2 linked regions of the Drosophila melanogaster genome follow. The protein of the gene in region 1 purifies or fractionates together with the protein of each later gene. This does not show direct contact. Each region holds a gene or a part of one and is shown in the gene's direction. Other genes may lie near its edges. The genes, in order: CG5447 and Frl.

Evidence for each region.
Region 2: the proteins of CG5447 (region 1) and Frl purify together in Drosophila melanogaster (affinity purification with mass spectrometry, with the first as the bait; one large-scale study listed by BioGRID). This does not show direct contact.

What each region holds. Positions count from the first base shown.
Region 1 is NT_033777.3:26,443,664-26,459,429, forward strand, and holds CG5447 (uncharacterized protein), read left to right. Parts: upstream 1-8,870; 5' UTR 8,871-8,994; intron 8,995-9,190; 5' UTR 9,191-9,197; coding exon 9,198-9,359; intron 9,360-9,425; coding exon 9,426-9,578; intron 9,579-9,905; coding exon 9,906-10,046; coding exon of another isoform or gene 10,047-10,085; 3' UTR 10,086-10,245; intron 10,246-10,316; 3' UTR 10,317-10,922; downstream 10,923-15,766. Other genes in the region: tx (taxi), read left to right, coding at 3,877-5,031; Hex-t1 (hexokinase testis 1), read left to right, coding at 5,491-6,888; Hex-t2 (hexokinase testis 2), read left to right, coding at 7,020-7,628, 7,717-8,568; CG43117 (uncharacterized protein), read left to right, coding at 11,150-11,377; Pdf (Pigment-dispersing factor), read right to left, coding at 12,092-12,400; CG14237 (uncharacterized protein), read left to right, coding at 13,214-13,579; CG14238 (uncharacterized protein), read left to right, coding at 14,690-14,883, 15,415-15,766.
Region 2 is NT_037436.4:14,044,247-14,060,478, forward strand, and holds the start of Frl (Formin-like), read left to right. Parts: upstream 1-8,968; 5' UTR 8,969-9,821; coding exon 9,822-10,097; intron 10,098-16,232. Other genes in the region: Neurl4 (neuralized E3 ubiquitin protein ligase 4), read right to left, coding at 1-981, 1,043-1,153, 1,210-1,510, 1,565-2,389, 2,460-3,544, 3,603-3,779, 3,842-4,776, 4,837-5,196 and 1 more; CG6833 (uncharacterized protein), read left to right, coding at 7,090-7,962; CG13484 (uncharacterized protein), read right to left, coding at 8,295-8,750. UniProt on the Drosophila melanogaster protein: Together with Cdc42, involved in establishment of planar cell polarity in the developing compound eye by contributing to ommatidial rotation. Together with DAAM and Cdc42, has a role in neuronal development of mushroom bodies.

The sequences.
Region 1 (15,766 bases):
CTTTATCTTGTCAAGAGAAAACATTGTTCAAACTAAGTCATCTACCCTCGTTATAGCAATGCCTCATGTGGTTCAGTTGCTTTTTTTTCCGTGCCCAAGCAGCAGACGCTTCATTTTCCATTTAACCGCACCCGACTGCCGAAATCCTTGAATTCAACAATTCCTCCTGCCCCGATTTTCCCCCCGGAAAACCCATGGGCGCGCAGACAAGCGTGCAGAAAAAGTTCTAAATTTAATGGCTACACCTAAAAATGCAGCGACTGCAACCGAACCAAAAGTGAAGGGCAGACTGCAGAGGGAGGAGGAGCCACTCGCCGGTAGTTTCAAGTGCACTTCGGCTAGGCCTGGCTAACTTCCCCGTCCCCATTCCCATTCCATCTGATTTTCCCCAAAAAAAAAAAAGTATTTTATATATCTGTGGAACGGGCCGACCCACCCACACGCCCCTGCCCCGCCCCTCGACCCCTTCACGCCTCGTCGCACGCACGGCTCGCCTTTTGTCTACCAAACTGTTGGTAAAAGAGAATGGGATCAGGAAAAGGGGTGCACTGAAACAAAATTCTTCAACTGCAAATAATTGTAAGGAAAAAAACTTTAAGAATTTTTTGTTGTCAAAAAGCTCAACATTTTATTTGAATATGAGATCTTATAAATATATCATATAACAAAAACACAACTTAGTTTGATAAGCTGAAATGTTATAAGCAGTAATCAAACATAACAGCTTTATTGTATTTGATTGAACGTATTTCTTTCACATTCCTCCGATTTTTCTCAGTGTCAAAATGAAATGTTGGGCTTTTGTGTAAGAGGAACTGTTCTATGTTTGTTGTCTGTGCATTTCAATTGGGCGCTTTCTGCATTGTGCCGGCGTGTAATTGAAAACTTAAGCAGAGGCACCACCCCGCCCTCCTTCCCCCCCCCCCACCGCTCACTTTGTCCACGAAAAGCGCGCAACAAATTTTCCAATCAACAGAGAACGAAACAGGCCCTATGCACTATAAACTGCGCCCCGCTAACTTCCTGCTCCACTTCCTTGCAGCATATCCTGTATCCCTCCGGTTGCGACTCCGAAAATCAGGAGGCCGCTTGTTGCTGTTTGTTCAACAAACGTTTATTAGCCGCGAATACTTTTAATCGCATGCAATTTGTTGATTGCGGACAGTCGTTGCACTTTCCACGCTTTTCCACCCACCCAGCGAAAAGGCCCACTTTAAGCACACGGAACTAGGTAATTTTCACGTCGTTTTGGACCGGAGGGCGGGAAAATGGGAAAATTGGGCGGAGGGGAGCGAGGGGAGTGAGCAGGTGAACAACGTTTGCCGCCCCTCTTTGAAGACGGTGCACAAATTTTTCTGTGTTGCGCGCTTAATTGCAGCTTGTTTGTTGCATGTCGCAAACTTTTCACGATGCCCTTACAACTCAAGTGGGTTCCACTGACTTGGGGGCGGGTCTTTTAAAGAATGACATTCGTTTCGTACCATGCTTTAAAAATAATGTATTAACGAAATTTATATGTATATAGATATGTAGAGTAGAGGATAGATACTAAGCATATTCTAAAAGCATTTAAAACTTTTTGAAAGGGCATGCAATCCATGCGGATCTTTTCCAACTTAAAAACTTCTTTCTGCTGGGTCTTTAAGCATTTCTTAGGATTGCGTGGTAAAAATTAATTATACCTCGAAACAGGGGCGAAACGCCAAAAGAAAATGCCGGCACGAAGTGAAGAACCTAGCCACGTGTTGAAAGTTGAGGCAGGGAAAGGTGATTTGAATGGAGATTTGCTGGGATTTCAAGATGAGCTGTGCTGAATCTCTTGGCATGCATTCTCTCTGGTTTTTTTTTTTTTTTTTTTTATTGCTGCCAGACAAACAAACATTAACGGTAATCGAAGAAAAGTGCTCACTTAAGGAGAAACACCTCATAACTCGTTTAGGCCAAGCCAAGAGCGAGCTCTGGGAATGGTCAAAGCTATGCAACAAGTGTCAAGCAGGCCAACAACGAGCCAACATGCTGGCAATCCAAGCCAATGCGAGCCGGATTGAATCGGGCAAGGTGGCCAGAATCGTCTAGTGCCAATTTTGGACAATCTGCACTAAATTGTCCATTTAAGTGGGCCCGGCTAAACCGACTAACTCGACGTTAGCTGCTCCCCTTAGATCAACTGACTGCAATCAATCTGGCTGCATTTACACCTCTGCATTCAGACTGGCAAACTGGAAGGTTGGAAGGCTGGTTAGCTGACTAGCTGGCTAGCTGGCAAAATGGCAAACTGGCGATTTATGAGGCCAAGGCACGTTACGTGCAAGGGCGTTAGCATCGATGCAGAAACATTTCTATCTCCATACACATTCGCACAGACCATGTGTATCTGCAACTGTTTGGGAGGTGGAAATGACGGCGTTGCATTGCGTTGCGTTGGCTTCATGTTACATTTTCATGTAACTTAATTCTTGCATTAAAATGCATTCATTAACCGTTGCCTTTGTTGTTTGTTTTGCGCTGCTTTGTTGCATTTCCAACCGCCGAACAGTCACCGCAAAATGTATCCGCCCCGCATTCAACTCTCGATAGAGGGGAAAATATTTCATATAGCTGACCTACCGCACCACACAAAAGAAAATAATAAACATTTCATTTACCGCACAAAACTTTCCCCATTTGAAATGAAGTAGACAGCGCCCTTGGCAATGACGGGAATTTAAAACTCACCATTTTCCTTTCACGAAAAATATTTTATAACAATCAACATTTCTGGGAAATTTTATCTGGCTAGTGAACACAATCTACTCATGTTTCATAAACAATCTTGTGTGACAAATAGGAAAACACCTAAAATCTGAGGTTCTCTTAAAATAGACCACTCTTAAGCAAATTATTAAACTGGTTATGAAAATTCCTAAAACTGTTGCGATAAAGCATTTAATTACAGAAATAAAAAACTGTTCATCAAGGCAAATAAAATTTAAATTAGTCGCTAGTTTATGAACAATTCCATTCATGCGGCATTTACGAAACATAATTTATTTTTCTTTCTCATCCGTATACTTGTTTGTATATTTTTAAAGCAGCCAATTTAACGAGGTCTTAAAATATTTTTATGAACTTTCGTGTTAAAAGTTTTATATAGGCTAATTAAAGTTTTATTGGAATTTTGTATGTATTTTCAAAGGCTATAACAAAAACTAACTTATTTAACAGCTTAGGAAATCTTTTGAAATTTATGGATAAGTACTTTTAGTTCTTAACAAGATTAATGACAATTTTTTTAAATATTTGTAGCCTACTCATTAAAACAAATGCACTTGTTTGCGTTTACATTACTCATACGATGTGAAATACGTAAAACTAATATGGGCTTACCAGAATTCAACAACTTGAATAAACCATTTTTAGGAGTTGAGAAGCCAGCTCATAGAGTTTTTTGCTGGCAAATATGACTCAGAGGCCGATCGAGAAGATACTGGGAATTTTGTAGATTACGCAACGCAATGAGCAATGAGAAATTTCATTTGGCAGACCAATTTGTTCTTGCCCCCGCTGCTAAATTGTATTTATTAGTTTTTTGGTTTGATGCGTTTCGTTTCGTTTCGTCTCGGTTTTTCGGCTTCAGTGGGTTTTATGACGGAAGCACTACTCAAGAATCGACTTCAGTTCATTGAAGCCAATTCGAGAGCCGTTTACGGAAGTTTTTGGCGGGGTGGGTCCGAAAATAACCGATTCGCTTCATTGCACAAGCCCCATATGCTCTCCGATGTCTTTCGAAAAATAGTACAAAATTGTTAATTGCCCCGGGATGGGATGGGATGGGTTCGAAATATATATAACCTAGAAGACCCTCGACTAAAGTCTGCCTCTGCACTCCACTTTCAGATGAAGTCCAATACGTACGAACTGCACAACTACGCCGATCTGAATGACATGGCCAGAGCGACGGACTCCAAGGATTCGCGCAAAAGGAAGACGGCCAGTGCTCGGGGCGAGAAGTATTCCCTGCGACAGAAGCGACAAAAGAGGGGCTCCAACGAGGATGGGGAGTCAGCCAACCTGGCTGACTTTCAACTAGAATTAGATCCCATAGCGGAGCCGGCTAGTAAATCGAGGAAAAATGCACCCACCAAGTCCAAGACGAAAGCACCGCCACTGAGTAAATACCGTCGGAAAACAGCGAATGCCAGGGAGCGAACCAGAATGCGTGAGATCAACACGGCCTTTGAGACACTGAGGCATTGTGTTCCCGAAGCGATCAAGGGCGAGGATGCGGCCAATACCAACGAGAAGCTGACCAAAATCACCACCCTGAGACTGGCCATGAAGTACATCACCATGCTGACCGACTCGATTCGAGATCCCAGCTATGAAAGCGAATTTATAGGGGAGTGTCTGGAGGAGAGTGCCAATCGGGAGGCGAGAGTGGACTTGGAAGCGAACGAGGAAGCCGAGGTGGAGCTACCCGTTCCAGTTGCCAAGAAGCCAGCCAAGACAAAGGGCAGTGGTAAGAAGAGTTCCGCCGCGAGCAAAAGACAGAGCCAAAAGCAGGCCAAGATAGTGCCCCAGATACCACCGATAAGTTCCGGTGAGTCGTGCTACGCCACCTCTTCGATTGGATCGCCTGCCTCCTCCGCCTACGCATCGCTCTCCTCGTCATCGAACAGCCACAGCAGCAGTAGCAGTCCGGGACTGGAGCTGGACAGTCTGGTGGGATTGAACGGAATCAGCGCCCTGGACTCTCTGCTTCTGGATACCTCCGATGGGGATTCCCTCTCCTGTCTAAGTCCCGGCTATGGAAGTCTACTCACTGGCAGCGGGGAATCCCTGTTGCCCGGTTGCCGAGGTGATCTGCCCATGTCGGGTCTGGAGAAGTCGGATGTGGAGCTCAGTCTGCGATTACTGGACCAGAGTTCCAAGGATTCCTTCGACTTTGCCAGCGATCAGCAGCCGTCGGCCTGTATTAGTTCGTTCTCCGCTCTGGATGGGTATCCATTCGACCTGCTGCACAGCGATTTTCCGGATATGTTTCTCACGTGACGCGTATTTCTTAGCAACCCTAACTACTCTCCTTTTAAGCCTAACCCTCGTCTTAAGTTAGAGTGCGAGTTTTAACCCGACTTTCACTATTAGCCATTACATGCGATGCGCCATTGAGGCGGAATTCATTGTGTCATAGCAAGCAGCTGACAGGATAAGTATATTCACATCCTGCGAAGGCAAAAGCTGCTCACCGCCACATCCACATGATAGCTCAACTCAACTAGTGATTTAAGCATTTCTTTGTGACGCATTTCTCGTTATCCTGTAAATAAAGCACCCAGTGTTGATTCAAACAATCTATTCTGTGATGGGATTTTGGATCCTTCAACTTTCAGAGATATGAAACAGAGTAGACTCTTAGATTATTAGTTTTAAATGGAGCGATTCTGAAATTGATATTAGGTAGCCGCAATATAAATCATACCTTATATTTGAGATCAATAGACACACATCGAAATGGCAAACACTTTTAATCCTGAGGAGGACTTTCCGGAAGTCTACAAGGTCTGCAAGTTGTTCAATCCGAGCATAGACGATCTTGAGAAGATTAAAAACGCAATGGATCGTGAGATTACGATGGGTCTGAGTCGCGATCATCACGATCGTTCGACCGTTCCGTGCCACTTGAGCTATGTACAGGATTTGCCAACGGGCAGGGAGCGTGGTCAGTTCTTGGCCCTGGAGATGATGCCCACTAACTGCAGGATAATGCTGGTGAAGTTCAGCAGCGAGAGAGATATCTACACCAGTTCCAAGTGCGTGATTATGCCGCATACTGTGGCAGCGGGTCGAGGAACCGAGGTCTTCACCTTTCTGGCCACCAGCATAGCAAATTTTGTGAAGGAGAAAAAGGTGGACAAGGACAATCTGCCGCTGGGCATAGCCTTTGCCTTTACCCTAAAGAAGTTGGCTTTGGATGTGGGTATCCTTGTGTCGTGGACCAAGGAGTTTGGAGCCCAAGGCGCCATCGGCAAGGATGTGGTCCAACTGCTGCGCGATGCTCTGGCCAAGTTTCCCGAAATCTCCGTCGATGTCATGGGTATCATCAATGTCGGAGCCGGTTCGCTGCTGGCTCTGTGCTGGGCCCAACCGGATACCCGAATTGGCTTGATCATGGGCAGTATTGCCAATAGCTGTTATGTGGAAAGGGTCGAAAGGTGCGAAACGTACGAGGGTGATGAGTACAGAAAGCTGATGATCATTAACTCGGATTGGGCCCATTTCGGGGATACTGGGCAGTTGGATTTCATACGTAACGAATACGATCGCCAGCTGGACACCGAGTCCATAAATCCGGGCACTCGGATCTATGAGAAGTTTAGTGGAGCTCTTTGCATGGGAGAATTGGTTCGCATTATAGTGCTTCGCCTGATGAAATCGGGCGCCATCTTTGCCGAGGACAGGCGTGATTACATAGGGATCCAGTGGAAGTTGGACATGGTGTCGCTGATCGAAATCGTCTCGGATCCGCCGGGTGTCTATACGAAGGCACAGGAGGTGATGGACAAGTTTCGCATACGTCACTGCAAGGAACGGGATCTGGCTGCCTTGAAATACATCTGCGACACGGTCACAAATCGTGCTGCCATGCTGGTGGCCAGTGGAGTTTCCTGCCTCATTGACCGCATGCGCTTGCCACAGATCTCGATCGCCGTGGATGGCGGCATCTACCGCCTTCATCCGACCTTTTCCACCGTTCTTAATAAGTACACCCGTTTGCTAGCCGATCCCAATTACAACTTCGAGTTTGTCATCACCCAGGACAGCTGCGGAGTGGGAGCGGCCATAATGGCGGGAATGGCACATGCCAACAAGTACAAAACGGACGCGAAATTGTTTACTATGGACTACTAGATATGCATAAATAAAATTTTTATTATGTCTGCTTAAATACAATGACAACATATACGTTTGAATTTTCCATGTTGTTAAATTTTCCATGTTATTCAACCAGAACGTCCAAAGCAAGAATTGAAATTTACCTCATGAGAAAGTCAACTAGACTTTTAACTCATTCTCTATTCGGCCCTGTATTTAAAATTTTGTTTCATAACAAAACAGTTTGTGGAGGCTGTAATAGGAAAATGCCGAGCCTGGTGAACACGGAAATTGAAGCCGCGGTCAAGGGCTTCCTGATCGACCAGGAGAAGATGACCGAGGTGGTGGAGCGCATGACCAAGGAGATAAAGATGGGCCTGGCCAAGGACACGCATGCACGAGCGGTGATCAAGTGCTTCGTCAGCCATGTGCAAGATCTGCCCACTGGCAAGGAGCGGGGAAAGTATTTGGCCCTGGATCTGGGTGGCTCTAATTTCAGGGTGCTTCTGGTGAACCTGATTAGCAACTCGGACGTGGAAACCATGTCGAAGGGCTATAATTTTCCTCAAACTCTGATGTCCGGATCGGGAAAGGCGCTTTTCGACTTCCTTGCCGAATGCCTGTCGGAGTTTTGTCACTCCCATGGCCTGGAGAATGAATCACTGGCTCTGGGCTTCACCTTCTCGTTTCCGCTCCAGCAGCAGGGACTCTCCAAGGGTATCCTTGTGGCCTGGACCAAAGGATTCAGCTGCGAAGGCGTGGTGGGCAAGAATGTGGTGAGTTTCATGGCGTTCAAACTATTTACGTGTGGTTCTATTAACATTTATATTTAACAAATGAATTTCTTTTAATATGCATTCCTAGGTGAGTCTTCTCCAGGAGGCAATCGATCGAAGGGGCGATCTAAAGATCAATACCGTCGCCATTCTCAACGATACGGTGGGCACTCTGATGTCCTGCGCCTTCTATCATCCCAACTGCCGGATTGGATTGATCGTGGGAACCGGCTCCAATGCGTGCTATGTGGAGAAAACAGTAAATGCCGAATGCTTCGAAGGATACCAGACCAGTCCCAAGCCATCAATGATAATCAACTGCGAGTGGGGCGCCTTTGGGGACAATGGTGTTCTGGAGTTCGTTCGAACTTCCTACGACAAGGCAGTCGACAAGGTAACACCCAATCCCGGCAAGCAGACGTTCGAAAAGTGCATATCGGGCATGTATATGGGTGAACTTGTACGTTTGGTCATCACCGATATGATTGCCAAGGGTTTTATGTTCCACGGCATCATTTCCGAGAAGATCCAGGAGCGATGGAGCTTCAAAACCGCCTATATTTCCGATGTTGAAAGTGATGCACCTGGCGAGTATCGCAATTGCAATAAGGTCCTTAGCGAATTGGGCATATTGGGCTGCCAGGAACCCGACAAAGAGGCCCTGCGATACATCTGCGAGGCGGTGTCCTCCAGGTCTGCCAAGCTATGTGCCTGCGGCCTGGTCACCATTATCAACAAGATGAACATCAACGAGGTGGCCATCGGCATAGACGGTAGCGTGTATCGCTTCCATCCCAAGTACCACGACATGCTCCAGTACCACATGAAGAAGCTCCTCAAGCCGGGCGTCAAGTTTGAGCTGGTTGTTTCGGAGGACGGATCCGGAAGAGGAGCGGCTCTCGTGGCGGCCACCGCAGTCCAGGCCAAAAGCAAGCTCTAAATTCGAAGTTGATATTCTTCAAATGCATGGGAAACGTTACGGACAATGATATATGAGCACAAAATTATGGAAGAAGAAATAAAGATTTAAGGATATAATGGGAACTTTTAATATTATCCTTTCAAACTTAAAATTGTGTCCAGAAATCCGATTTGAATTATGGCGCCAAAGATATAATAATTTTCTGCCTTAGTGGCAACACTGCACATCCATAGTATTTTTTAGTACATGCAGTATTTTTAGAATATTTATGGAACGATAGGGATGGGGTAACACTATTTTGGTATAAAAGCCAACTCGCCATCTGGTAACACTTGGAGTTTGCAAACATTTATCTCTCGACCAATTTAAGGAATTTGAGGCAATTAGGGCATTCCTGTGAGCTTTTCCAGGCCAACTGCGATTACTTCAAGCCAAGACAAACAGGTGGGTAACCAAGCAGGCCGTGCCCCACCGACCAGACCAGCAAAACACCCCCATTTCGGGCGGTGCTGGAAAAAGCAAGGCCAGCTGTCCATTTGGGATTTGGACACTCCACTCTGAGCATCAAGATGATTGCCCTTAACCAAATGCATCGGGCGCTGCAGAGCGAGGCCATTAATGCCATTATCCGCCTTTTCAGCGACAACATGTCCCAAGGCGGTGGCACTACTCCAGCGGGCGGTAATCCCACAGCGCTCCAGGCGACCGGAGGGGGCGTGGTCTTCAGCAAGGTCTTCATCCAGCGCGATTACAGCGAGGGCACCTCCGTCAAGTTCCATACACGGCTGCCCGCTGAGCTGGAGGGCATGGTGACTATATAATACTCTATATTATCTGTGGGATTATCATCCGAACTCATATCGATTCTCGTGCAGATTGAAAGACACGTCTTCGAGGCCACCATCAATAGGCTAAACGAGTTCTACGCCGAGGCGGAGGAGGGATCCTGCGGCACCTATTGCGAGGGCTGCATTGGCTGCATCACGGCCTACTTGATCTATATGTGCTCCGAAACGCACTATGAAAAGGTGCGTCATTTGGGTTTGGATTACACACATGTGGGTCAATGCAATAGAGTCTAGTTCCACTAGGGAACTATTAATAGGGATTAGAGTCAACAATTTCACAAATGTCGATATGCGATCGTATAAGTTATCAAAGTTATTCTCGTTAATGTCCTTGTACTCAAGGTTTTCATATCTGTTTAAGGTATAAAGGTCAGAGAACTTGATAAATCAAGTAGTAGTATTACTTGCTAATTAGTGATCGTGCTATCTGTTATACGAGTTTAAAATAAGGCAGTGGCACTTCCAGCTCTATTGCCTGCACATACTAATGCTCTTTCGCCCCCACAGACCCTTCGCAAGATATCCAAATTTGTGGCTTCCCAAAATGAACGCATTTACAACACCAAGGGACTGCAGCTGATCGATCCCACTTATCGGGGACTTCGCGTCATAGAGATTACAATATTCGATCGTCCGGGGCGAACGTGACTTCCGCTTTCCCATTCAGCCAACGAGTTTTTCATGTGAGATCGAGCAGCTACAGTCGCATCAACAGGCATGTGAAGGAGAAGAGTCCGTTTCAGCAATTATCAAGCAAAAGTCAGCGCCATCAGAGTGCGTTTCCAAAAATATAAATCAATAAAAAGCTGTGGAAGCAGCTAAAGCTTTATAACCTATAACCATATGTGTGAGTATCTCAGATATTCCGCACTCAATTGCAAACTGAACTAACTAACATTTACTTTCGCATCCTTTCAGCTTGGCAAAAGCAGTGGCCAGAGCGTTTTCGGGGCATGCGACTTAGTCACGGGTGTGCTGGTAGATGTGCCTCCGCTGCAGCCACATACTGTATGCTAGATTAGCCGTTAATGATTAGCCAAGGCAGTGTACGGCCAGTTAGTTAGTATTTATGCAATAGCAGGCATAGTCATGTAAGTGAAAAGCTACCGAAACTGCATTTTGAGCCGAAGCAAGAAGCATCAACATATACACACATTCGCATATGTTACAATTGTTTTATTAATCGGACCGAAAGGCCAGCGAGAATTGATTGTTTTGTAATTTGAAAATGAATAGAATTGTATACATCATGTTTGTAGTAGTTGCCAACAATTCGATTGTCTAATGTTGTAATTTCAATATGGCATTAACATTTGCATAAATACACACACACATAGTTCAAGCTTAATCAGACATAATGCATACGCATAACTTTTTCTATACAATACTTACCGATTTCAAACAGCGCCAAATGAACTTACACATAAATCGAATCGAGAATCGTTCGATATTTAATATAAATCAGCAACATTGATTAACATAGTTATATATCTTATAAGAAAAATATATATATTGCCGTCATTTAAACGCGCCTACAACTGTTTTCCTGCGGCGGGTAAACATCGAATTGGAAGCAAACAAGTTAAGCAAAATGTGGCGTGCAAAATTTGTTTTTGCTGATTTTCAATTGTATTTCGCTATTTACTTATCATCTGCGGATATTTGTTATTGTCTGGCGTAGAAAACTTTCGTATATATAAAGGCCTCTAAAGCCTCGTCTTATACATTCACGATTCTTGCAAAGCCGCACAATGAAGCTAAGCACTTATCTATTGGCGCTCGTCCTATTCGCCGGATTCTGCCTGCTGCAGCCTTCCTCAGCCCAGACCAATTCCACCACATCCACCAACACCACAACCACGGAGGCAACCACAACCACCACTGCCAAGGCCACAACCGTTCATAGGAAACATTTTACGATCCGTAATCTCCACTATAAGACAGTGCGCAGGATCCATGTTAACAAGAAATCTGGTTAATAAGATCTTTAGCTTACCAAACAATGGCGAATAAAAAATACCTAAAGAAAACACATTTCTAATAATGGGCACAACAATTTATACTTCTACATACAGATCTTTTTGTCTTTCTGTTTATAAGTGTGTTTTTTATGAACATACTTTAGTTCTCATTTAGTTTACTTTCTACGCATTTGTTTGCCAAGTTCATGGCCAAGTTCCTTAGGTTTTGACTGCTTAGATATAGCATAATAAATGAAGTCAATAAACGAAATGGGGCTGCTATTCTAAGCTAGAAACATCTATTTATTCCAATCGTAGCATTGAACAAAATCTACTTTGAGAACACCTTTGGCTTTCATTGGTTCGCCCTTTACGGGGATAACCAATATCTTTAACTAGCTTTAGTATCTGTGATTAAGAATAAAAATCCTGACTAGTTGTTGTACCAGATTTCAAGTCGAAACAATCCAGAAAACGTTTATTTCAGCAGTAAGCCTAATAATATACAACATTTCTACAATAGGCTACTTGTATATTTTTCTATTTAGGTTTAAAGCAACAAAAGTTATACGGTCTTTTCTCTCTATTAGATGACTACACCGGCTTTTATCTGCGGATTTTCATTTTCCTTCGACGCACCAAAAAATCATACTATAACATCAAATAATAAATTCTTGTCCAGGTTCCATCTTTCAGTGGTGGGTCGTCCTAATCCTTCAGCATTTTCCGTTCTTACTTGCCCGCATCGTTCATGTTCTTGGGCAGACTCAACAAGGAGTTGATTAGCTCCGAGTTGCGCTTCCTGATGGGCACGGATGGGCCCAAGGAGTTCTCGAGGATCAGCGGATAGCGACAGAGAGTGGCCACTTGGCCGGGACTGAACTGTCCCACGCCCACGTTGTTGAACCAGTCGAGGAGATCCCGATTGTACTCCTTGCGCACATAGCGCTCCTCATCCGGCATGGCCATGGCGCCGCAGTATCCCCACTGGCAGCAAATGGCCAGAAGCACAAGGGCGACAAGGTACGTGTAGCGAGCCATTAGTCCGAGGAGCTGGAAGGATGGCCAGGAGCAGGAACTGAGCACGGAACACCTGCAGCAGGAGACTTGCGAATGAACGTCGGTTGGCGCATCCTCGACTTATATAGCAACCTGGACTGGATAACCCACTGCGGGAGACCGCCCGACCACGCAACCCAAGAGCGTCAGTATCGGTGTCATCCGCAGGACCAATACATGTCATCCGCAGGCAGCGGCGGTCCTTTAGCCCAGGCAAATACGGAGTCGAGTTGGAGCCACGCAAATATTTGGTTATGCAGTGTTTTATGTGCCAACATGCAGGCACCAAATCCCATTCAAGTCCAGCGATATTTGTACGGGAAGGCAGCTCACTGGCGACTCCATGTGGCACTCAAAAAAAAGGAGGATACCCAATTTAGGCACTTCTTTAAACCAACTTATTTATTGGATTTAAATAATATACGATTGCAGACAAAATTGCTGACCTTCCATTAAAACGAACCTTATTTGTGAATAATATTTTGCTCAATTCGTTTTCTCTCTGTGTAATTGTGTGATTAATTTTAGAACGAAGCTCGTAAAAATACCAATCTTAAATATATATAAAACTTAATAGCTAGCTCGGCAGTTGGGCCGTTTTGCGAAATTCCAGCTTGTTCCTTTGTTTGATCACCAAACTGTGTAAATATGGCCAAAAAATTTCGCGCGGACGTAATTGGCGAGAGCAAAATGCAAATATTTGCTGAGAAATTCCGCCAATTGTCTTGGTCACATATAAAACTCCCAGCCTCCGAAGTGGTAGTTCATCCGAGCAACGGCATCACCGAGCACACCATGAAGACAGGACAACTGGCACTCCGAATCCTAGCGATAAGCCTATGCATTTGGGCAACCAACGCCTCATCGCCAACCACCACGGAGACTACGACGACCACGACGGACAGTGACACCACCACCACGACGACAGCAGCCACCACGACCACCACCACCGCGTCCTCCTCCTCCTCCTCCTCCTCCTCGAAGGTCCATCGCAAGCGGTTCAGGATCAAGAACCTCAAGTACTCGATTAAGCGCAGGGTGCGCGTCTACCGTGACACCAGTGCCAGTTCCACTTCCAGGAACAGGACCAGGAATCGCTCCGGAAGGCGGGTCAGTGTGCGCAGCCTCAATAGGCTGCTGCGACGCCGCAATCAGGGCTAGGTTCCAAAATCCACATCAAGTCATATCCATACATGCAATAAAAGCAATTTTCCAAAAAAAAAAAACATCTGAGTATTTAAAACCATAAGGATAATAGAAAGGTCAGTACTAGAACGTGTGAAAAGCGAAGGATTCCCCAATGGTTGTTGCACATGTCGTATGCGTAATATATGCCAAATTACTTACCTTATTTGAAATTTTCTTTGTTCCCATCAACAGGTTGCCCCTTCTAGCATGGCTGTGCCCAGTCACACAACGCACATCATCCTTTATTTATGCCTGTTCAATGACTTCACGTGCGGCAAAAACATTGACCCAACTCCGCCCCCCAACCAATGGGCAAACATCGGATATATCTCGACGGGGTAGGTTTACGATGACTATAACTTTCCATGCAGCCACATTACCCAGCAGTTTGATGGCCAAGGCTCGGCGTCGTTCACTCCGACGATTTGTTTGCACTGCATTTGTGGCCAGACCCAAAATCCGGTGGGTGGAACGCGGACTCCGCGTTTATCGTCCACCGTTTGCCGTCTTAAAAGTCAGCTGAAGCATTTAATGGTCGTGGTGTGACTTGGAGGCACACATAAGTGAAACACGCATGGGTTCGATTTCGGTTGGGAAGACATTTCCAGGAGCGTCTTGGTCACATCAGAGTATAGAAAGTAAATGAAACTTAATTTCCCATATATTAAAATGGAAAAAAAAGGTTTTAAAATATATTAAGAAAGTTATTATTAGCTAGAATTTATTTAAGATCCATATTTTTTACTCTCTCCTTACTATGAAGAATCTTTACTTTTCGGTCTGCAGTTCGTCCCTGGACAAGCCGAAGATGATTCGTCCTGAACGCACACACAGGACATCGGGACGGGGGTCCGTGGCCATTCACCAATTACGCGCCATTCGCGGCTGTGTCCTTAATTTCTTAAAAAGCGTTTAAACATCTAATGAAAGCATTTGGGACCCCGCGATTTCTGCTGTCAGTTGCGTTTACCTTTTCGCCGTGTGCGGTTCGCTTCGTCGGTTCGGGTCGATTTGGTGGTATTCCTCGGTCCTGATTATCCGAGCTGCAGGAAGCGAGCACGAGAGGATTATGTCATTGCAGCCATGGCCAAGATAATCTCGACGATCAAGGCCATCCTCACGAGGATCATCTTCAGTGCGCACAGCCTGCTGGCCATTTGGCAGGTGGTGGCTTTAAAGAGTGATATCATATACTGGGCACTATGTGGACCACTGCTGTTGCTGCTGCTCGAGGGCATCTTCACCATCATGATCAAGAAGACGCAGGAGTGGCGCTGGTAAGGATGAAACCCACGGATCCTGGCTACCCCAGGCATCTGATTAAAACTCCCAACTCGAAATGTAAACAACAGTCAGTCGATGCTGACGTCATGCCGCGGGGTTTTGATTTTCAATTAAAAGTGAAATCATGTGTTTAATGTGTGCCTAACCTGGCCACCCACTTTCATAGAAACCACCAACACTGCGGCCGCACCCCCACACTCAAAAAAAAAGTAGCCACGATTTCCAAACAACACAATGTAGTTTACATAGGATTTTTGGATAAAAATATGCATATGAATTGAATCTAGAAATAGGAAATCCTATGAATTTTGTATCTTAAAGCCAATTTGTATTATCATTTCGGGGTGTACTTTTTTTCAAGTGTAAGCTGTCCACCTCACACTTTGTACTAGTAAAAACTTTAATGGAATTTCGTGGGGGATGGAGTCTTTTTGACTCTTGTTTACCTTTCGTCGCATCACTCAGACTTGTTGTTTGTTTTGGCCGTTCGGCTGTGCCACCTCATTTGTGTCCTTTGTCCGCAGGTTCTGCCCCTCGGTTTTCCTCTACCTGAGCAGCATTGTGCCGGCGATATGGCTGCTGGAGCTGGACAAGGTAGCACGTCGGGTGGGCAACATGACATCGACCAACTCGACGGTCTACAGTCCGAGCAACTACAGCATTCCCGTGGGCAACACCACCATCTTCATCACCAGCACCAACAGCAGTGGCGTGCCACCGGTGGCCACTCTGCTGGGTCAGGCCGGGGTCACCCTCTCGGTGACCCCGGACACTTGGACAACCCTCATCGAGCAGTTCCTCATGCTCATCCTGATCGTTGGTCGCTGGCTGCTGCCCAAGGGCGATCTAACCAGGGATCAGCTCAGCCAGTTGCTC
Region 2 (16,232 bases), on another chromosome or scaffold:
AGCGCTGCAGCGGCCGGTTCCTCGTCCGGATCCGTTTCTAGCGGAAGCGGCTGCCCACGATCCAGTATCGCCCGAATCTTGTCCACCCGTGTCATGTAGTAGAAGGGCAGCCAGTCTCCGTTGAGATCAAAATGCACTTGGGGAGCGGTCGCCGAGGAAGCGCCACCACCGGCCGATGCAGTCGACGTCGAAGTGCTCAGCACATTAACCGTCTGCTGGTTTAGTTTGAAATAAACCCAACCCTCCAGTTTATCACCATTTCCTCCGATGCTGGGTCCACTGCACTTCAGGCAGAAGCACACCGGCTCAAGTCGGCTATCAAAAAAGGCCTGCGGCAGAACTAGCGATGCACAGAAGCGTCTCACCTGACGCAAATACTCGCAGTCGTTCTGCTCCACACTGGCCCCGGTGGCAGTGGATCGCAGGGAATCTGTTCCTCCACTCGGCCGCGTCTGGCCGACAGAATTCGTGTCGGATTCCATGGAATTAAGGGATGGCAGGTCGAGATTGAGTAGTGACGCCTGATCGGGCATAAGATGATGCCGCGTATATTCGTTCTGCTGGAGTTGCTGCAGCAGCAACAGGTGGTTCATGTAGTCGATCTCATCGTCCTCCAATACATTATCGTTGAGCGCGGGCTCGCCGGACATTTCGCGTTCATTGCTAGCACTCAGTTCCAAGGCCTCCGCATTGTTTTCACTGTGATCGATCGTTGTGGATACAGACGTAATTGCTCCACTTGCTTCGTCGACGGAATTGACTAACGGGTTTGGAGGATTGGGTAGATCATCATACTCCTTATTCGTGTCATATACACCCGAGTTACTCAGGTGTTGCGTATTGGCCGTGCAGCCGCTGGTGCCACTAGATCCCGCTGCCGTTGCAGATGTGTTCAAAGAGTTCTGGAATCTCTGTGTGCTCTGACTGCGTTGTATATTTAAATTAGTATTGTGCTGCAGCTGCAGAGACTCGCGAAGGCAACTAAAGAAATTCAGAAAATTAGGAATTACATTCTTATCCGCATTTCCATTGTCATGCTTACCAAGTCGACGATGATCCACCGAGTTCATTTCGCTGCTGCTCCAGAGTTCGATTCTTAATGGAAATGTTCAACAGCAAGTTCTCCGAAACGCTCTCCATAACCGATCGAGTCCTGCAAAATGATTCCGTACAGAAAACCGGAGTAGACCTATTTATTGATACGCTTACATGGCGTTTGAAGGAGCACCAGAGGTGGACGGGCCCGATTCGCACACCTGCTCCGTGTCCTTTTCCTTCTCGTGCATTTCCAGATGCGCCTTTTCACATTGCTGTGGCATACCATTATCCAATTCCAGGGCCTCCGGAGCCTCGAGAATTGGAGTACCATTGGCATTCCCAGTGCGGCCAGCATCATTTCCAGTTATCAATGTTATCTTCTCGCATTTGCCGTACACATCGAACACGGGATACACATGGTTGGGCAGTCCGCTGGCCAGATCCTCGAGATTCGTTGACCCAATCATAATGACTGAATAAATTTTGATAATTAAAAATAACTTTTAACTTTTTAAATTTAACTTACTTAGCATTCCGGCATGGGTTAGTGTCAGGGTGATCACAGTTCCCACTTGGATCTGCTCAAGGGCATCGCCGTATTTGGAGGGCATCACTTGACCGTTGATGTTCACGTAGTCGTGGGTGGCCAACCAGCAGCTCCGTTTAAAGTCCAACAGGGAAATGGGAACAGTTTGGGGACTTGCGGACAAAACGCCGAGACCGACAGTACCCTTCCACTTGTTGTTTAGGGCATCTACCTTGATGCTGATGCTCTCACCCTTACACAGCGGCTTATTGAGACAGACGATGGACTGGTTATAGGACTTGATTCTGGTCACGCTTCTGCGATCATCGCTGAGTCGTGCGTTCTTTTGTGAGACATCCAAAAACTCGTAGTTCAGTGCCTCGGAATCGATTGATTCCAGCATGGAGCTATCCTGCTTGTTCAGTGGATCCACTCCAAAGTCCATTGAGTCCTGCAGACGCAAACTGCATGGACGTAGTGGCGACGCCGGTCCTTGAGCGGAAATCACTTGAATTCCCATCGTCGAACCTCTCAGTTCGGCAACCACGTAGACATCGTTGGGCACGTTGTGAAAGTGGATGTTCACGTTCTCCGAGTTCAACAGAATGTTTAACGAGTTCTCCACTCGTTCCAGAGTTATCCTATCGTCAACCCTTAACCATTCCAGGGAGGCCAGCGAGCGCTGCAGGCAGCTTGAGTTAAAGCACACCTCGTTTCCGCTAACATACCACACGTTTGCGGGAATCCGGCGAATACTGGTTGGGAGTTTCTTGCGTACGCTTTCGTCGCTTAGATTCAAATCAGTGACCCCGATACTTAGACAACCTACGGACCATTAAAAGAAATTTTTAAAATCCTCTACATGTATGTAGATATCTACAACGGGGGAGCTTACCAGCAAACATGGAATTAACCGATGTCAGCTTAATCTCAAAAGGTGATCCCACGCTGAGCGGATGTTCCGAAAATACCAGACAATGGGATAGTGGTGCCGCCGCTCCCGTAAAGCGCGAGGCCTCCGTCCAATCCTTGGTTAGGCTTACATTTCCGGAGACGCAAGTCCAGCGGTGTTTTGTCTCCATGGCCGGATGCTGAATTACCGATGTGGCTTGGCAGCTCTGGGAATTTTCGCTGGTCGCGTACGGAGCACGGATGTCCAGCTGCGTCTGGGTAAGACTCACCTGCGCGCACTGCCCATACAAATCGATAATGGCCCAAATGTTCGGTGCGTGGCACTCGCAGGCCGGCCCTTGATCCATTCCATCAACAAAGAAGTGAATGAAGTCACCATTGCGCATCACACCAACACGCGTGCTAGGACCTAGGGTATCCAAATCCAGCAGAATATTCGTGCGTATAGTCTTGCGGTTGTGAAAAATCATCGGGCCGCATAAGATGATGGTGTCGCTGGCCTCCAGATCGGTGGCGTTTGGAGCCAACTGGATGTCCTCGGGCCGAGTGCCCGTCACCCCGATCTCAATGTTGCCCGACCAGTGACGAACCATTGTCTCCAGCTCCACTTCAAACAATTCCCTCTGCCTTAGCGGTCGGTTACTGAACACAATTGCGTCATTGAACTCCGCCAGGGAATTGGGACGCGACGCTGTTAGGCCACTATTCGATATGCCCGCATTGGCGCCGTGGATGCTGTGAAATCGCAGCGGAACTTCACTGTACAACGTCGTGTTTGAGATGGTAGAGTTTCCAGTGTCCGGACTACCGCACTCCGAAGTGTCCACGATGCTTGCTTGTGCTGCCTGTCCATACAAATCGATTACACCATAAACGCGCTCGGGAACATTGTTGGCAGCTGGACCCTGATCCACTCCATTTACCCAGAAATGCAAGGTGCCGTCGTCCTTGCGCACCACACCCACTCTATCGCCCACCTGCAAGCGATCCAGGTTTTGACCATACTGTTCGATAACGGTGACTCCATTCTGCATGACCCCGTTTCCCGTCATCATCCAAGTGCCGGAACTGGTTTGGAAAATGGTTGTTTAAAACAACTAAAGTTGGGCTAGAAGCCAGGACTCACCGCACATTAGTCATCGTGAATGGAAAGTCCAGTTCGTCGGCGCTGTGCGTGGTCACTCCCATTTCAACAGAGCCAGCCCATTTGGTCACGACGCGTTCGAGTCGCACTTGGAAGAGTTCGTTGGGGCGCAGAGGTCTCCTTGTGAGCACTACACCATTGTTAAAATCATCGGCAGCACTGCATACAAATTGGGGAATTGAAATTCATAAAAATCTTCTGCCGTAAACAACAATGCTCACTTGGGCCGCAGCGCTGTCCGCCCGCTCTGGGTGACGGTGGCGTGAGTACCACAAATGTGGTGGAAGGTTAGCCGGTCATCGTTCCTGGCTATGGCTCGCGTGCTGGAAATGGTCTCACTTAGGCCGCCGGCAGCGCCAGCGGCATTCATCTCGCTCTCTGGACTTAGGAGGCTCAGGGTTGGGGTGCCGGAATGCTGCTGGTGCTGGGTGTGCTGAGCACCAGCACCACTGGAACATGCAGTCATGCCTGCTACTATGTTGTTTCGCCGTGTCACGAGATTCTGCTGCTCACGTTCATCGCGATCAACTATTGTTACCTTGATAGTCATTCCGTAGAGATCGATAACGCCCCACAAAGTGGACGGTGCTCTGGTGGCGGCCACACCCTGGTCCTGACCGTTAATGTAATTGTGTAGGTTGCCGTTGGCCTTGCGCATCATCCCAACGCGATCTCCCTCGCGAAGCTCATCCAAGTTGAACTCGCCGTACTGACGGCGTGTCCCCTTACCATTGGTTAAAATGCCGCAGCCGGACATCATAATTGTGCCTGAGCGCATGTTGGTCATGGTTGCCGGAAAGTGCAGCACTGCGGGATTGTGCGTGGTGACGCCCACTTCAATGGATCCCGACCATTTGTCCACTAACTTGTCGATGCGAATCTCAAACAGTTCGTTGTCCCTCAGAGGCCTGTGGGTCATCACCACGCCGTTATTGAACTCGTCCAGGGGTCGACGGCGTTCGGCGGATCGAAAGTTGGGCGAAAGCTTCACCAACGACCCACAGCGGGTGTGGAAGCACAGTCGGTCATCAGCACCGGATACGGAGCCATTGCCTTGCATCCAGGCGTCGGAGTCAACGACAATGTTTACGTTCATGGCCACGTCCAAGTTTTGAACAACCTGTTGCAGTGGTTGCTGCAGCGGAGAATCCAAAAGCTGTGTACAAAGAAAACGAGTTTTTGTTTACCTATTCATTTGGATTAGCTGAATTGTTACCTCTCCGGAACCACTTCCATCGCGCGGACACAAGGAAACCTGCACACAACGTCCGTAGAGATCGACAAGAGCCCACAGAGGCTTGGGCATGTTCTTTGCAGCCACGCCTTGCGACTCTCCGTTCACATAGAAGACCAAATCGTTACCAGAGGTGCGCATGACGCCAACGCGATCATTCTCGTTGAGCGTCTCCAGATCGGTGCCATAGAACTCGAATAGGCGTCGTCCATCCTTGCGCACGTCGATGCCGGACATGACCCATGTGCCATTTCGCATGGCAGTGGCGCATGCCACCAGTTCCAGGTCATCCGGCGACTCCGCGGTGACACCAATCTCAATGCTTCCGCCCCAGTAGGTATTCTGCAAGACGATCATTATCCGCAGCTCTATCTGCTGCAGTCGTGTGGCTAACTCACCTTCTTCTCGATGACGACCTCGAAAAGTACATCGTCCTCCAGGGGCTCAGCACTGAACACCAGGGCATGACTGAAATCCCGCATTGAGCGCTGGGCCATCCGGTTGTTATTGTACAGCCGGATGGAGCGGCCACAGCGTGTGTGGAAGGATTGCGCTTCTCTGCCGGTCATGGTTGCTCCTCCAGTTCTGCTTTATCGGTCCTTTTCTCCGCCGCCGCTTGTCGCCGTACAAATCAATCGACAGTCGGAATGGGAACACGGGCGGATTGCGGCTCATCGGCTGTTGGCGATGTAAGTGCTGGGTTCTCGGGCGCTGATGGAAAAATTCCGATGGAGTAGTCTGCAGTTTCCTAGATCTTCACAAAGCATTATGCATTATTTTCAAAGATGTGCCAAACTAAAATAAACAAATGAATATCCTTTTCGTATGACCGTTCATAGATGTAACAAAAATCTATACATTCAACGAACATATCGACTGTTTAGTTGAATGGCTTATCAGTTATTACACTGAAAACAAAGTTCGAGCTATATGTAATTAACAAGGTTTGCTCTTAATTCGCCTAATAAGAAAATACATTTATTTTCAAGTCTCCAAAATCTCCAAGCATCCAAAATTTCATATTCAATTTGAGTTTCAAATTAAAGCTAACTTTTTGGATAATCTTTTTCTAAAAACAGATCACTTGTACTGCAAAGAAATTAAAAACAAAAAACTTTAAACAAAATTATATTAGTTTTAAAACAGTTGTTCCCGGTCGGTTAGGCTAACCACGCTGCCTTCCAGCATCTTAAGCATGCTCTGTTGGACGGCCTCGCCGTGTCACCGGAGATGTTTAACTGGCAGTTGGTTTGAAAAGTTGGTTTGAAAACCTGGGAAGCTTTGAGGCTGAACTTGGCATTTTCTCTCGTCCGAAGTCTGGTCCCTGACGGATGCGACAGAGGAACTGTCGATTAGAGGCTGATCGTAAATTTCAATCAATGTTTCCAGTAGTTTTTGGGGCGACATCTTAATCAAATAATTTTCATGGTGGCCAAGTCAATTTCGCGAGCATACTGCAACTCATAAATAGTGAGGCGATCCTCCTGTTGAGCCATGTAATGCTGCAAACGGCATTCCTCAAATGAATAATCCTCGATGTGATTGGGAAAGTTGCCCAGGCCGCCGAAGGGGCCGAATGCAGATAGGGGCCACGCCCCGCTTTTCAAGTAAAGTTTTACTTCCTCGACGACCATATGCCTTAATGCGAATTAAGTAAGCTGCGCTTACTTGACATCTATGTGCTCCAGGATGCACTCCGAACGAAATACGCGGGAGCCAGTTTAAAACTCCTTGCATACGAACATCTTTATCAAGTGCGCACTTCGCAGTGGATATCCAAAACTTCAAGCCCAATCTCGAGTGTGCACATGCATATGTATAAAATCCGTTAGTTTGATATTTTTACGATTTGTTAAAATATAAAACCGCCATAAGTGATTTTAGAATATTAGTCAATACTCCCACATTTCTTCAATATTTTAATGAACTTACACTACTTCAACGTCTGAAACTGTAAATGAATAGCGATTTTTACGGTCTTATTTGTTCGAGCGATCAATGCACATATTATTGACGCAGTGAATGCGTTCACAGGCTACATAAGGCGTGATTGCTATTTACCTGCTGAACGCACCCATTGACACTGTTTAAATACCAAAAGCCCGTCGACAGTAATACTCCAGCAACCCCAAGACGGTCACACTGGTCGGTGTTACTAAAATAAAGAAACACATTTGTTATTCGAGATTGTCTTAAGCTGGATATTTATTTGGAATATATAGATGCCCCGACGCCATGTCCGCTACGCCACGCCAGAAGCAGTTCGACATGAATCGTAGCCGGGCCAATAACTTGGACAGCAGCAGAAGCGGGTCTGCCAACAACAAAAACACCACGGACAGCACGAAAAATGTGGTTTCCCCGCAACACAATCAACGCAAGCTGCAAGCCTCCATGGAGCGCCTACAGGTGCAACAGGTGAACACAAGTCGCCGGGCAGCCGGCTCCAACTGGATGGCCGCTGCTGGCGGTGGAGCAGCAGCAGCAGCTGGAAGTGAAAACCAGGATGCCAAGGCGACGGAGTCAGCACCACTAAGCAAATCGGCACGCATGCGCATGAAAAAGAAGGCACACCGCAATCGCATTTTGGCCATGGACTGCGAGATGGTGGGCGTGGGACACAACACACGGGACGACATGCTGGCACGCGTGTCCATCGTGAATCGCATGGGACACGTGCTGCTGGACAAGTATGTGAAGCCGCGAAAGGAGGTCACCGACTACCGCACCAGCGTGTCCGGCATTCGGCCGCAGGACATCGCTAACGGTGAGGACTTTGCCGCCGTGCAAAACGAAGTGATGAAGCTGATACATGGCCGCATTCTGGTGGGACACGGCCTGCGCAACGATCTTGCCGTACTGGGCATCCGCCATCCGTTCCATGACATTCGTGATACGTCGCATTATAAGCCGCTGTGCAAACTCATCTCTAATACCCACACGCCCAGCTTAAAACGCCTGACAAAGGCCGTTCTGGGTCAGGAGATCCAAACGGGCGAGCATAATTCCGTGGAGGATGCACGTGCCGCCATGGGTATCTACAATCGCGTTGCCGTCGACTGGGAGAAGTATCTGGAGAAGAAGCGGCATCAACAGCAGCACTATTAGCAGCTCACTCGGGGAGCCCCATTGCACTGAGGGGTGTTCCATTACGGTAGTCTTAAATTTTTAAGTATACACACGGGTTTCATTCACGTGAAACTGTTGCTTAAATGTATAAAATGTTACAACCTTAGCCATAGTTCTTTCTTGAAGGCATCGGAGCGGTTTTCAGCACGTAATGTGCCACTCAAAAGCAGGCTCGGATCTCATGATGAAACCATTTTTATGTTTACACATTCTTTTGTTTAATATCGGAAAGCTAAAATTAAAATTCTTTCTTTGCTTTGGGGAAATTATCCTACAGGGCTTAACTAGCTCTTAGTGTTGTATTCTACATTTTAGGAAGCCGCCACCTCTTTCGGTGAAGTTCGGCTAGTACTGGGTCCGTGGATGGCCTCGTGCCGTTCCATTAGCTCCCGCCAAGGATCCTCCAGCATGGAGGGATGAAAGTACTGGCCGAAGGAGCTGCCGCTCTGGTTTTGTTCCCTGTTCTGGTGGCTCCTCGGATGATCCCAGTTCTGTTGGTTCCTGCGATTGAAGCTGCCGCCGCGTCCGAAATTCCTGCCCTGACCGTAGGGCCGATGGCGCTGCGGCTCCTGTGGGGATTTGTTCTGGTAGAAATGAGGAACATTTTGCTGGCCCTGTTTGTCCTCGTAGAAGCCAACGTTTGGATTTTGTGGCTTCTGCTGGCCACCGAATTGCTGCGCTCTGTAATCCGCGGACTGCGATGGGTACTGGCCGCCTTGTGGGCAGTAGGGCGGCAGGTTGTTATAGTTCTTGCGAGGGGTGCTCATGATTGCAGTCGTTAAAGCTTATTTAAGCCAATAATGGCTTATTTCCTTGGATCCGAAATGTAAAACAAATGTTTTTTTATTTTAAGTGCGACCGTTGGCAATTACCACAAAAATGCATATTAATTAAATCAACTGGCTTAAAACTTTGCTAAGCGCAGTTTTCGGCACATTTAGGGTGTTTTCCCGCCAGTCTTTGGTTTCCGTGCGCAGACCCAGTTCGGTCACACTGTCCCGAATATTCGTGTAGCGCGGTTGTCGTGCGGTCGGTCGGCAAAATAAAGTGCATTTAACTGCAGTTGCTCTCGGTTCCCACACTTATCGCCCACAGACCGAGTCTAATGCGGTGTGTAAGGCAAATTGCAAGCAATTCGCACGTCCCTCGCTCGGAAAAACCTGCAAACAAAGCACAAGAGGCGTCGCCTGCCGCAGGAGCCTTTCATCGAAATCTGGTCCTTTGTCTGTGTTTGTGTGCCTGCATCCGTGTCTTGCTGTAGGTGTGTGTGTGTGTGAGTGCTAGTGGCTGTGTGCCTGTGTGAGTGCCGCCGTTGCACCACCAGCAACAACAACAGCAACAACAGTAGCAACAAATTGTGTTTTTGCTTACATTGTCAGAAAGAAGTAAATTAAATTATCAAAATTTTGGAACACAGCACTTTTTACACTTACTTTCAAAACAAAAAAAAAAAATAAATAAATTAAACAAAAAACAAAAAAGGCAACCAAAAATAAGAAAACACACGCCCGGAAAATAGTCACTTTCGATTGGCCAGTTGTTCTGAGCGTTCGATAGCAGAGAAACAGGCAGCAGCCGCTTTGGATATCTTCAACGGAATCAAAGAGCAACTTTCAAGTTGCCCGGAACGCACGCGTGCCCTTTGCCGGACTGTATGGGGTACCCTCTCGCTGTCCCTTAGCACTGCGCTCCAAGCGGCGACCATCGAGGACGCCATCGGCGGCGGAGGATCCGGATCCCGGGGATTACAGGATCCAGGGGGAGGAGGCGGCGGAGGAGGAGGAGGAGGCGGCTCCGTCTCCGGCTCGGTTTCGGGCTCTGGTCGCTTTGCCACCATAATGGGCGCCGTCAAATCGCGAACCATCACCAGCGCTGATGTGGACGCCGATGAGCAGCTGCAGCATCCCCATTCGCATGCGCACCATCACTCGATGCGCAATGGCCACCAGCACAACGGTTCCATCTCTAGCGGCACGCTGCAGAAACAGGATCTGCGCTACGACATCGGCTGCAGTTCCCAGTACCAACATGTCAGGCAGCCGAGCCTGCGGAGCCGGAGCCAGCAACCCATGCCCACCACAGATGAGCTGGACCGACGATTCGCCAAAGTGCTGGTAAGTTAATCCGAATACCATGACAAAAAAAAAACTTAGGTATTAAAATATGGCTTAAAGAACAATTTTATACTTTCATTAAATTCATTATAATTTGCTAAATTTTAGATATACAAATTTATTTATTTATTTTTACCTATTTTACGCTCCATGTACCATTCAAATCCTAAATGACAGGAAAGTCTCAAAGAAATATATTTCAAATATACATTTATACTTCAAAGATTTAAAAAATATAATTCCTTTCTGCCAAGTTTAAAAATAACGCCTTGTAGAATTAATTAACTAGCAATCCCTTTCCAAAAAGCATTGCATAGTTTTTGGCAAATAAAATTCCTTTCATTTATTAGCTTACAATATGTTTCATACATATATTTTGTATAACATACGATTTTAATATACATTTCTGTTTATGAACGAGTAAGCTATTTTGGGTGATCAGCTTGGTATCAAGAAATAAATTTAAATAAATAAATGGAAATGCGTAAATGGTTCTAGAATACAAATCTATCTGGAAAAATCTTTTTCACGCTGTTAAGCTTTAATAGTCGAATCGAATGTTTAGAAACAAATACACCCCCTCTTCTGAATCGGTGATATTTTTTAATACACTAGAAGAAATGTTTGTTTATGTTCAAAAATCCATTTGAAAAATTGAGTTTGCTTGGCGAATGTAGTAGCTGGTATATAGAAAGAAGCTTAAGGATTGGCTTCCTGCCCCAGCCCGTTTTTTTCCGCCCTCGCATTTGTTGCATGTGATTGATGACCTCATCGAGTGTGCGGCGACTTGTTCGCTTGAATTTTTGTCAGCCACACACACACACTTGTGGAAACGTGAGTGTTCGCTGGTGTTTGTGAGTATCTCTGAGTTTGTATCTGCGCCTCTCCCCAGTTCAACTCGATTCAGTCCCGTTCTGTTCTCCGCTCCGGCTTGCACAACTCCCCAAGCAGGGCACAGTGGAATGGGATCTGAATGGAAACTACCATATATACATATGTATGTGCTGAACACCTTAGCTATTCCCATGCTTAAAATTGCATTCAAAATATCATATTGCACGGAATTATTCGTAATATCTTATTGAAATCAAATATCGATAAGGTATCAGGACGAAAACCTTGATGACTAGCATGGTTTACAATTGGTTTATTAAGAAACAGCATCCTAGTTTTTAAATCAACCCCTTTTATTCTTCTTTTTATCATTTAATTTAAAGGATTTACAATGAAAGATCATAACTTTTTTAAGCCAAACTTTTAATACTCTCACCAAGGTTCGAAGGGCGTGTGCCTGTCGTCAGAATTCGTTTGTCATCCCACCAAATGCTTTTTTTCACCGAACAAGACTGCGTAATTAAGATTTTACGAGTAAACATATTGCCAAAAAATATAAATACATTAGTCAAGAATAGAGAAAAAAAAGCTCTCAGCGCTGACCGTCATAAAAGCGTAACGGATAGTGACCCACAGCCGCCATTTGATTCGCTTCCCTCCGCCCATCGTTCCCCCCTTTCTGAATAAGCCACTCCAATTCGGCATGCTAATGGCAATTAAAGCGAATTGATCGATTGTCGCCCTCTCTGTCGCACTCGAGTCACTCGCTGACTCACTGCTAACGCCGGCATGGGTCCGCTCGCCTGCCCTCCCTTACTCGCACTGCTTCTCGATGGGATGCGATGGGATGGGATGGCTTGGAGATCGCGGCTTATCTCTCTGGCGAGCTGAACAAAAGGGGTTGGCGAGAGCAGAACTCTTTATTTATATGGCGCAGCTTGAGTTCTCAGTTATCGGCAGTCAGTCAGTCAGTCAGTCAGTAATATGAGAAATGCTTCTCCAACGGGTTTCCCACTTATCTGCTCATTTTTGGCATTATGCCCATTCTCAAGATCTTTTGTTTTGATCTCAAGGTTGTAAATACTGTCCTCAGCATATGGAATGTTGTTTAAAGATAAAATATTTACTAGAGGATGTTCTTAATAAATTATTACGATCATTTTTATTTAATAAATATTGGATGATAACATTTTATCAACGTTTTGACAACAACTTGGCACATATTTTTTTTGTGTTTATTCCATAATTTCTCGATTTCTTTTTCGCACTGTATGATGTCATGGTTGTAACTTCTTTCGTGCGCATCTCGATAAGGAAGCACGATTTTTATTACTCTCATGCCATTTTTGGGGACACAAAATATTGATGCGTTTATTAAAGCCATTAAGAAATATAACAAAGTTCTTGCTTTCTTCCTTAATATAATTAGTATCCGTTCAAGGGCTAAAGTCAATGCTATCCAGAAATGCTATCATATAAATATGGTATGAAACTGATGAATTGTTTTTGAATGCAATATCTCTAATAGCCAGACAAAAATCCTTTTAACAACTCTTATCGCAGACTAAGAAGATTGCCATTATACCACAGTATTAGTATCTTATTATCCTTACTTACTTACTTATCCCAATTGATATTCATGTTAACACGCCTAATCTAAAACAAACCATAGCCATTCCGTTGTCAATTTCAAATCCAAAATATGATAATTCAAGGGTATTCCCGATATCGACAGACCTTAGATAGCATTTGCTATTCTTGCTCTATTGTTTGTTCAAAATTCATTGCCTTCTTTTCGCACTCAAAGTGTGTGTGTGTTTTCGTCTGTTTACCTATGCCTGTTACTTGTTTTTTTTTTTTTCATTTTTCGCCCCTCGATATTGTGTTTGTTTGCCATTTCGGTGGCATTGTGGCATTGCTGGAGGTGCTGTGCCGGGCCCTGGTGGCCTCGCCCTTGCCTTGTGTCTCCGGCTTGGCTTAATTTGTGTTTACCTTAATTTAGGCAAAAGTGCTGCTCGCCGATGGCCCATTGGCATTGAAGTGGACTTGACTTGGCGTACCGGAGACTGGCAGATCCAATGCGCCAATGTCCGTGCAGTCGGCTTCCGAACGACAGCAATTGCTTGTCTGATTCATTGTTTAAAAATAGCAACAATCCGACAATGTTGCCGCTAATAATTCGCCTTTGGCTGCATCTAATCAGACGCAGTTGGTGCATGTGTTTCCGGTTAAATTACAGTTCTGCTGCGAAGCTCAAAGAAGCTGGGTTCGTTTGTTTGCCCACAAATGCAACTAAACTATGAGCAAGTTGCATGAATTATACATTTAGCTGGTAAATTGTTTGGCTTTAAGTTTTAAGAAAGCAATTATGAATTTATATACAATAAATATTATGAATTTTTCCACTCGATTCCAAGTGTGCTATTTATTGAATTTGAATACCCACAGAGGCTACAATTTAACTGTGTTTGTATACAAATTCACTTTAATTGCATTAAAATTGGCATCAAGCCAATAAAATGTCCATGCTTTCTTCAATTGAAAGTAAAAGTGTATTTATTACATCGTCAGTGAGACGGCTTCGAATATTAGTGAATAAAAACGTTAATGTGATTGCATTATTGAAAGCTTTGACTCTAAAGAGACTTAACTGCGGTTTATGTTGTGGGTGTCATTATTCACATAAATTGTCATATAGTGAAAGACAGAAAGACTAAACCGCATCAAATCCTCATCCCCGATCGCTTACCAGCTTTCTCAGGCAAGCCAACTTTCACTCGCTTCAACATCGTTGCCCAAGAGAATCTAGAATCTATATCTATAAACAATTGCCTGCCGGCGGGGCGTAGTTAAGGTGAGGTGATTCAGGGTTAGCCGTCGCTCTTAATGACTTTCCCAATGACTGACAAACCGCAAGGCAGTGAACCACAAAAGTTATTGTTGTTAATATAGTTAAGCAATCGTTGCATATGCGAGGGCAGGTTTCATTGTTGAGATGAAAACATTTTTGATGGTATTTTTGAAACTAAATATAGGCTTTACTTTTTGAACATTTATAATGATCTCGATCTAGAATAACATTTTAAAATGTATTTTCGTATCATAAGAAGCATAAGAAAAACCTAATCTTACTCTTCTTCCATAAGGATGTGTTTTTTTTTAAGTATATTGTTTTAAATTTTACTCGAACTCTAATGTCAGCCCTCGTTGCATTCAATGGCAATATATTCATGGCTTTGTTTAACGCATTGTCCATTTGGATTGGCTTTATCTAACGGCAGCTTCGGATCTGCAGAAAAAATGAGACTTCCACATTATGTGAACCCCTTTATCTGCCTCGTAGGGCAAACATAAGTTTATCTTTGCTGTTCACTTCCTTTTGCGGTCGGCAAAAAACGAGCATAGCGAAAAAGCCTACTAATGATAAAAACATAAGACCATCTGTTTTTTTTTGCGGAACAGAGTGGATAAATGGTAATCGACTTCAGAGTTCATGGGAATTAATGTAGGGAAAACTGTTGAGTAAGTAGATCTTTAGTAGATCTTAAATGATTCTAAGGGATAACAATTCGTGCTGAAAACACATAGAAAAAGATTAGTCATAGTCCTGTGGCTATGTCTTTATCGGTAAACAAAGTCATCGGTGTTACGCACGTTCATTTGGAAAATGTTCGTTTTTTTAAAATGTTTTCCTTATCGCATTACTAACAAATACATTCGAAGTTCTGAGAAGAACGGAAGTGCTTCCTTTTAAAAAACCGTATTCGTTTGGCATCTTTGATATCTTTTGAAGTATTCGCAACATTTGTGTTTAAAAATGATATTATAGATTAGTGGAAATAAAGATTACGTGGTTGATTGACTCACTAAGCTCACATGTGGCTTACGCTTTATTGATTGTGTTCATGATTCGCATGAAAATCAATTTATGTAGCCCATGTGGCTTTTCCAATAAAATTCCAATAAAATGTACTTTTGCTTCCATTATTTGTCGGCAAAACGAAAAAGATAGTAAATACCATCTACCTATTACTCACCTCTAATAACTTTGAATCATTCTTGTGAATTTCTAGTGGAATATTATGAAATAGGTAACTGCTAGTCGAGGCACTGGTTTTGGCGTTCCATCTTGTTTCACTAGCTGTTCACAATATTTATATGAAATTTTTGCTATAATAAATACCCTCGAAGCTTACTCATTTGGCATGAGCGTAGACAGATTGAAATTGAATGGGGGTTGCCAGGCTTACAGTCCGTAGCGCGTCCCATTATGCACATACACACACACACATGTAAAGATAGAGGGGACACAAAAATAAAACAAATTTAAAATGCGTATCCGGTATGCCGGTCAAGTAATTCATTATGTACACCGATATTTACATTTACATACATATGTATGTACATATGTACATCATGTCCAATTTATATACATACATAGTAAGTTTTCGCTTTCTGGCTTTCGGAGCCTGTCTGCCCTGGCATAAATATTGAAGAGAGGCTCTCGTCTTTGTCACCTTGTTTATTATTCTCTCTTTTTATGCACTCTTTTATTTACTTATTTATTGTTTTGTTATTATGAAAAGCGCGTCGAGGCAAATCACTCAGTCTGATGGGTTCAGACCGTAACGGACAATGGACTTGGGAGTGGAATCGAAGGGGGTGATGGGATCGGGACGGGATCATGGGAGTTGGGGCCGAGGGGCTCACCCATAACATTACAATTAATTAATCAATAAATTTTGCAATCATTCTCGCATTTACTCACATTCCTCTGATCAAGGGAAATATATTACGTCTATATTAAGCAATGAGCACGTTGGGAAAAGAAAATAAACAAAGCCAGAATTTAAGATAATTGTAATAATTGTTTAGCTTAATTAACACTGAGATAAACTGGCAGGCAGGCTCCATGTAAATTTGCAGTAATTGAATGAGAAAAAAACATTGAGCAGAAAGCACTTTATTATCATCATCATGTGAATAAAAACATCTTGGGCATGAAAATAAACGAGGAAATTAATTATAGTGTCTCTGAAAAGAGATTAAATACTTGCTGATCTTATGTTATCTATCTAATGTTATCTTTATTCATGATAAAAAATGAAGTTAATACCTGATTAAAACTGCATAATACATTTTAATGTTTTCAATATTACTTTCTCAGCAATTTTTATCACACTTATGGGCTTTTCAAAAACAAAGTTTAACATTATTTTTTTTTGGTTAATATATTTTTTTTAAATTACTTGCTTATACATTATAAATACATTATAAATAAGTTAGAGCAACAAATGGTTC